Linked DNA regions of Oryctolagus cuniculus. The protein of the gene in region 1 interacts with the protein of each later gene in a pairwise test. Links are inferred from orthologs where the notes say so. Each region holds a gene or a part of one and is shown on either strand. Other genes may lie near its edges. The genes, in order: SUPT20H and MAPK14.

What was found.
Region 2: the proteins of SUPT20H (region 1) and MAPK14 interact in binary tests that used the Homo sapiens proteins (3 or more experiments, as listed by UniProt). The link is inferred for Oryctolagus cuniculus from reciprocal best matches to the Homo sapiens genes SUPT20H and MAPK14.

The regions. Positions count from the first base shown.
Region 1 is NC_091440.1:77,037,992-77,041,801, forward strand, and holds part of SUPT20H (transcription factor SPT20 homolog), read left to right. Parts: intron 1-98; coding exon 99-165; intron 166-2,962; coding exon 2,963-3,092; intron 3,093-3,810. UniProt on the Homo sapiens protein: Required for MAP kinase p38 (MAPK11, MAPK12, MAPK13 and/or MAPK14) activation during gastrulation.
Region 2 is NC_091436.1:133,478,797-133,483,124, reverse strand, and holds the start of MAPK14 (mitogen-activated protein kinase 14), read left to right. Parts: upstream 1-1,352; 5' UTR 1,353-1,715; coding exon 1,716-1,831; intron 1,832-2,423; exon of another isoform or gene 2,424-2,558; intron 2,559-4,328. UniProt on the Homo sapiens protein: Serine/threonine kinase which acts as an essential component of the MAP kinase signal transduction pathway.

The DNA.
Region 1 (3,810 bases):
AATACAGAAAAGCTTAAAATAGGGAAAAATTACAATAACATGTTTCATAATTATTATATTAATGTTATTTTGTGTATTTGTTTCATCCTTTTTTTTAGAAAATCTGTATTTCAAAAACTCTATGATTTATATATTGAAGAATGTGAAAAAGAGCCTGAGGTTAAGGTAAGTATAAATTTTCTATGGTATTAAAGCTTTGAAATGTTGAGGAGGGAAATTTGGAAGAGTTCCATTTGAAGTAGTTAATGATTTATGTTTGGAGAGGAAACTAACATCTTTTGCAACAAGACTATAGTCAGTCCTGCAGCTGACTCAGAACATCGGTTATTCTGGCCCTAGGCAGAGGTCAGCTGCTTAGCTAGGATGAGGGAACAGTCTTTACTAAGTAACACTATCTCACTGGGAGCTCATAAGTAAGGCGACTTTATGCCTTTCTCTTGTTTCTTCTCCATCTGAAGTGAACTGTAAACTTAGGAAGAAAGTAACCTACTTTATAGTGATTTGCACTGGAAAGTCAAAGCTATTACAGGAGGTATAGGAAATTCTAGTGTGATGAGAAAAGGTAGATTTGGTCACAAAATGAGTTCATGGTTAGTTATGTTTAACTTTTAATTCATTCCTATTTAACATAAATGTATGAACAGTAGAAATGTAATAGAAATTGATTTCTTGATAGCTTTTGAACTCTTTTTGGAAGGGCCTTAAAGGACTCGATGAATTTTTGTTGTCTTTAATTTTAAAATGTATACCATTTTACCATTTGGGCAGAAAACAGTGGAATTTCAATAGTGTGTCCACTTTAAAGTCTTTGAATTAGGAAAAGATGCTAAATTTACAAATAAGTTTTATGATATATATTCTGTAAGTTTTACTCAGATACACTTGACATAAAATAAATTGGACAAGTTTAAAGTGTGTACTTTTTAAGTTTTGACATGAATAAAGTGTATGCTTGTGAAGTCATCACCACACTCAACATAATGTACATTCTGTCACCTCAGAGACACAACTAAGATAGGAAAGATACGTTGCTCCCCCTCTTCCTGGAGGAACGACACAGGACCCTGCGCTGTTTTGTCTGCTCGGCCCTTCCCGGGTTTGCTGCTGGTTCTTCCCGGTTGGCTGCCGTCCCTCCACCTCCGTGGAGGGGCGGGCCCCCCTGCCACTTTCCCCACTTCTGCGGGGGAGTGGCACACCACCGGCCGGCTCTCTAGGGGGCTGCTCAGATGTTATCCGCATGTTCCCCTTAGATGTTCCTGGTGCATGTTGTCTCTCTCCTCCTTTATAGTCCTCTTCCACCAATCCCAACTCTGCTACCCACACGCCGAGTACGCTGCTCTCCTCCAATCAGGAGCAGGATCAGCTCCTGCAGGTTACTGGTCGAACTGGAGGCAGCTGGGTAAAAGTTGTTTACTCCTCTCCCAGCGCCATATTGTGAGAGAGCAGATGCATAGAATAAGTCTTAATTCCAGTAACTTAGTCTAGTCCGAGTTGCTCCCCACAAGATACATTTGTAATGATTCTAAAGTGAGGTTGACAAGCCCCTGTCTACCAATCAAACCTGGCCAACTGCATGTTTTTGTAAATGAATTTTTATTGGAACCTGCCACACAGGTTTGTCTAGGCATTTGAGGTACAAAGGTAGAGTTTGTGCAGTTGCAACACAGGCCACATGACCCACAAACCTAGACACTATCTGAAACTTTAAGAAATTTCCCAGACTCTGGTTTAAGTGAGATCATCTTAGTGGTAGCCAACATGTTTTCCTGAAGAGGTATACGTAACTGTCATAATTTTTCTAATTCTGTCATAAATTATGATGGTTTTGTCTATATTGAAAAAAGTGTTTAATTTCTCTTTGGTTTTGTTTTTTCTTCACATTAAAGTAGTTAAATGTTGTTTACCATTTTTGCCCTTTTCAAGTTGCATAGTGTTTGATTTTATGGTGATAGTCAAGAATTTATAATTCCTCTGTAATTCTTCTTTGCATATGGCTGTGTACATATGTGTGTGCGTATAAAATACTCAAAAACAGATGAAGTTTTTGGGGAGATTTTGCAAAAGTAATATTCTCTTGAACCAGGTGTCTTTTTTAAATAAGATTTGATTAAGTAAATTATTATATCTATTTCAGTGTGTTTTATTTTAAATGATGTACATTTCTAGCCATGGATTTTGATATATGTGTGATATGTTTCCTGATGGCTTTTTAAATGAAAACAAAGTAGCTTCTGAGGAGGTGTTGAATTGAATTCTTAGAAAATTGTCATAACTTCTTTCTCCCTCTTACCAATTAGATATTTTTTAGATTTAATGTTTTCTTGATTAGAGCTGTTGAACTTATTTGGATCTAATTTAGGTTATAAAATATTTAAGAAATGTGCATTTGTTACCATACAATCAAAATGAATGCTGCAAATTTATAAGAAATAGAAATTAATAATGCATCATCTGTGTTTTGTATATTTATATTTAATGGTTTTAATGTTTTATGTATTTATATTTTTCTTTTGTGGATCACCAGTTTTTCTTTCTGATGTGGATGAATGTATATAAAACTTAGTAGCTCAAAATTAAGTTTCCATGAGTGTCCCATCATGGTGGCTATTTTTGTATTATGTGAGAATGCAGAATGCCTCTTTTATAGATTTTTATTTTTTATTTTTGAGATTTTTAAATTTATATTATAGTCAAATGCTTACTGCTCCACTAAATATAGAGTCCAACAAATAAAAGGTAAAAAGCCCAGAGTTGAGCAGGAAAATAGGCAAGGGCTATAAACAGTAACCAAATGAAAAGATGTTGAACTTGATAGTGGCTATCTGCTTGCAAATAGTTCCCATATATTCAAGATCATAATGTGGAGGGAGCAGTAAAATATTCATGTAGGTTTTGTTCAATCATCATACTACTTTTTAAGATTCTACTGGATTATTTTCATGAGCTCTGCCTCTTTTTAAAGCAGAAAATAAGAAGAAATGTGAACTTGTTGGAAAAGCTCGTTATGCAAGAGACTTTGTCATGTTTAGTGGTCAATCTTTATCCAGGAAATGAGGGATATTCTCTGATGCTCAGGGGAAAAAATGGATCAGGTAAGACCCTCCAGAGCACAGCTGCCACAAAGGTTCTGCCCGTGGAGGAGGATGTGCTTTTTTTTAAATAGTTTCTTAACTTGCTAAATGGTTTATCCTTTAGATTAGGGATGACTTAGTAATAAATGTAGATTTAGATCTTAAATTTATCTCCTTGTATTTTTGGTAAGAAGATTAGAAAGTCTCTCAGCTGTGTATAGTTATCCTTCCAGAATATGCACTTGACAGTCAGGTTATAAAAGACATAATTTTTAAATGATTGCCAAAGTTTCGTTTTGTTCTGTTGCTGTTTGTGCTTTAAGATAGCCTAAGCTATTTGAAGGTATGCTCTTTCTTCTGCATTTTAAATATACTGAGTCTGAAACCTTCAAATGTAATCAGACTCACTGCCCTTTGAATAATTCTATTGTAAATATGAAAATAGTTTTAAAATGTAAATACTCTTAGATTTCACTAAAAAGCCATTTAATTTTCATATGTTGATAGTAATATGAGTCCTACAATGAGATGAGTTTACCTAGTTAAGAGTTTTTCTTGCATTGATTAATTGTGAAACATAACGCCAAGACAATTTTCAAATTATCAGTGATTTCCAGTTTAGATTGATCACTGGGTTTCCAGTTAATTTTGACAGTGGATATTTATCATATTCTGCTTATTGACTATGATTTGGGTTATGCCGTTACACTAGATTCATTTCCACAGTGTGTTAGACTTT
Region 2 (4,328 bases), on another chromosome or scaffold:
CGCGGCCGTTCAAAGCAGAGGCGGGAGATAAGCTTCCAGGCACCGTCGTCAGCCACTCACTCTACCAATATTGACCGAGCGAGCGCCCGCGACGTGCGGGACCCCGCTGCGGGCGGCGGACCCAGCCCGGCCCGCGACCCGCGACTCTCTGCCTGCAGCCCCGCCTCCCGGGCGGCCCTGGCAGCAGCTCACCTGTTTCCCCGCCCGAGGCGGGAGTGCGGCGGGCGGCTCGGGTCTCCCAGGGCTCTGGCCTGGCTGGCAGCGCTGCCGACCCGGACGCCGGCGGTTCCCGAGCCGTTGCGGCCGAACCCGCGGGCGTTCGGGGCGGGCGGGCAACGAGAGCGGGGGCGAGGAAGGAGAACACGGCCGTGGGAGCCCTCGGCCCCTGTCCTGGGGTGGCCCTCAAAGGATCGGAGGACAAGATAGACTCCCATCCTTGCGCTCAGGGTAGCAGGCGTTAGCACGGGCCGGGCCAGCACCAGTAGGTATGGGCCTGGGGTTACAACACTTGCCCACTCGCGGGTATTTTCTTGTCCCTATGAGGTGGGAACGGAGGACCGGAGTTCTCTTGCAACTGAGCAGGGCCTACCGGCTTGCCTAAAAGCGACATTGCCACAAGCGCACTCCCTGCTCCTCCGCCTTCCTGGGAGAGCCCCCACTTAAAATCTCCAAGTCCTCTTCTCAGGACTGCTCTTGGGGCCGAAGTCGGTTTATAAGCTTCGGGGCCACGGCTTTTAAGACACATCAGAGCCACCTGTACGGCCCCGACCCCCGCAGAGGCCCCTGAGGGTCCCGGGGCGACCTTTGCACCCGTTCGGGTGCAAAGTCTCGGCTTCCAGCGGGGCTAATATTTGTCTTTGGGGCCGATTTCGTCAGCGTCCCGGAGGGTTAGCCATCTGTCCATGAGCACACGGGAATGCGACGGCCTTCTGACTGGAACCAGTTTTTGACGCCGGTATTTCTTGGAAACGGCGGAGTTCCACCGAGCAGGTGCTCGGCCGCAGTTCCAAGATCTGTTGGCTCTTTTCCCGACACGCTTACTCGTCCCCGTCGCTCTCCGCAGTGGTCAGGCACTACAGCCCCACCAACCACAGTGGGGCGCGCGCGGCCTGTGGTGCGCGAGCATCCCCGCCTTAGCCGTCCGCCTCGGCGCCCCGAAGAACAGTCCCCGGGAGTTCCTGCCTCTGGGCTCCAGCTGTTGCTCTCTTCTCGCGAGAACTGCTCCTCCGGCGCTCTCTCCTCCCGAACCCCCTCCCGCGGGGAGGTTCCATATTGGGTAAAATCTCGGCTCGCGGAGAGTCCCGGGAGCTGATCTCGCGAGAGGACGGCAGGCGGCTCCTGTTCGCTGGCTCTGGAACTGCGACCACTGGAGCCTCAGCTGGCGCTGCAACTGGAGCGGGAGTCCAGCGGCACGGCCCGCCGTCGGCCCGGCCCGGGAGAGGGTGCAGGGAGACCCCGGCGGGCGCAGCCCTCAGCCTCGGAGCGCGCTCCTGCCCTTTGCCGGGCTCGCCTCGGTCCCTGAGGCGCGTCCAGCAGCTGCAGCTGACAGGGGCCGCACGCGCGGGTGTCTGCGGGGGTCTCAGCAGCCGCACCTGCGCGGCGGCCAGCGCGAGGTCCCCGCCCGCCTGGGCGGGCGACGAGGGCCGGGGAGCGGGCGTGGGTGCAGGCGGGGGCACCTCAGGGCCACCTCCTCGCCCCGCGGCCGTCGCTGGAAAATGTCTCAGGAGAGGCCCACGTTCTATCGGCAGGAGCTGAACAAGACAATCTGGGAGGTGCCCGAGCGTTACCAGAATCTGTCCCCGGTGGGCTCTGGCGCCTATGGCTCCGTGTGGTGAGTGTTGCTAGGCCCGGGGCCGCGGTGGGTAGGGTGGCCCCTGGTGCCCGAGGGCCAGGCCTGCCCCCGCGGCTCCGCTATGCGCCCAGCGGCAGGAATTTCCCCCGAGGGAGAGCATGGCTGTCCCTGCACCCCCTGCATCCCGCAGCCTGCACGCCCAGGGCGGTGGTCCATTGCGTGCAGGCGCAGGTCCGCTGTGGGCGGTAGGTGGTGGTGCTGGCTGGAGCTCGCTCCTGGCGCACGCCCTGCGCTTTCGTTTCGCTGAGCGCTGCTCCCCCCCGGGGGGCAGGCCCTGGGGGAGGGGCGGCTGTTCTGCGGGGAGCTGGGGAGGGGGGTCCCTACGAACACTTTGCAGAAGGACCCTCTCCCGGGGGTGCACCCGTCCCGGGGGCGCGGACGACCCGGGGAGCTGCGGGAGAAAGCAGAACCCGGTTGGGAGATCGGGTGGTCTGAACAAAACTGACGACGAAGGTAGCCCCCTCCAGGCTTTTCTTTCTTTCCTTCTTTTTTGCAAACCTCTGTGGAAATCCCGTCTGGAGAAGCGTTCTTTTTGAATTCGCAGCGACCCATAGGGCTTAAAATATCGGCTTTATCTCGGCGAGCCCTGTGCCAGCTTGAGTGGTGTGTTTCCGATTCGGTCGAGAGCGTGTTTCCTTTCCGTGGAGGGCGGCGGTGGTGGCTGCCGCTTGAGAAACTGGCGGCCTGGCTGATTAGTCACATACCACTGCTCATTTAAAGTATTGTTTGACGAAGCAGGGTTCTCACGGGGAGCAGGGGAGCCTCGGATCCCTCCGCCGCGTGCCCTCGAAACCCAAAAGTCGCTCACGGTGCAGGGAGCTACTGTGAATATTTGAAAGTTGAGATAATTCCTGTGAATCGTGTATTTTTAAGGCCCCTTGGAGAGTGTGCAGAGACCTTATCTGTGGCTATGGCCTGAGATACACTTGGTTTTCGTTAGGATCGGGAACTTCCAGGAGAAGAAAGTTAGACACCGGCCAGCTGTCCTTTACAAGGTGCCTGTATTTAAGTTGACACCAGGACATTTCCAGACCTGAAGTATTTCACTGACTTCTCTAACTTCCAAGGCCTTAGACACTGTATTTTATACTTAGTATCTTTTGAGAGCTCCTGATCTGAAACTAAGTGTCCGGCTTCATAGTAAGCTTTTTCCTGTTTTATCAATTCCTGGGCATGCATGGGTGGAAAAGGAGCTAGGAAAATGCTTTTTTTGTTTTGTTTTGTTCGGAACAAATTCCAGGCTTTTGGATTTGTTCATCTTTAAATATGATTCCCGTGTTTCTTAAAATCACATCATGAATTTCCTGTTTGGTAGAATCTTCTGGGTAATTGAGATTGTGCAATTGTGTCCAGCAACAGATCGTATTGCATTTTCTAGTTCAAGCCGCTTGAGTAATGCTGCAGGTGTCACCGTGGCTGACATCTTTCTCCCACTTTTACGCTGTGGCAGTTAACCTTTTCAAGGAATTTGAAGCTTTTTTAGTTAGTATATATACTAGTTATTGATTTGCTAATTTTCAGAGGTGTATTTAGATAATTGCTCCTTTAAAATTTAAGGACTCTGTGGCCAGCGCTGTGGTGCTGTTATCCCACATGTGCGCAGACTTGAGTCCTGGTGGCTCCACTTCTGATCCAGCTCTCTACTGTGGCCTGGGAAAGCAATGGAAGATGGCCCAAGTCCTTGGGCCCCTGCACCCAGGTGGGAGATCCAGAGGAGACTCCTGGCTCCTGGCTTCAAATCAGCCCAGCTCTGGCCTTTACAGCAGATGAAAGACCTTTCTCTATGTCTCTCTTCTCTCTGTCTGTAACTCTATCACTCAAATAAAATCTTTGAAAAAAAAATTTATGGGCTCATTAATATACCTCCATTTTTCATTCTTTTTAAGGTTTTATTTATTTATTTGAGAGGTAGAGTTACAGGCAGTTGAAAGGGAGAGATGGAGAGATAGGTCTTCAATCCGCCAGTTCACTCCCCAAATGGTCACAACCGCTGGAGGTGGGCCAATCTGAAGCCAGGAGCCAGGAGCTTCTTCTAGATCTCCCACATGAGTACAGGTGCTTAAAAATTGAGCCATTTTCTACTGCTTTCCCAGGCCTCAACAGAGAACTGGATCGGAAGAGGAGCAGCCGAGAATCAAACTGCCGGGACTCAAACTGGCACCCATATGGAGATTTAACCTACTGCACCACAGTGCCACCCCCTCCATTTTCCATTTTTTTTAAAAAAAATTATGTATTTGAAAGGCAGAGTTAGAGGGAGAGAGAGAGAGAGAAAGCTTCTCCCTGGTTCACTCCTCAAATGGCTGTAACAACCAGGGCTGGGTTAGGCTGAAGTCAGGCACCTGGAACTTCATCCTGGTCTCCCATGTGGGTGAAGGGGCCCAAGCACTTGGGCCATCTTCTGCTGCTTTCCCAGATACGTTAGCTGGGAGATGTATAGAAGTGGAGCAGCCAGGACTCCAACTGGAGTGCATAT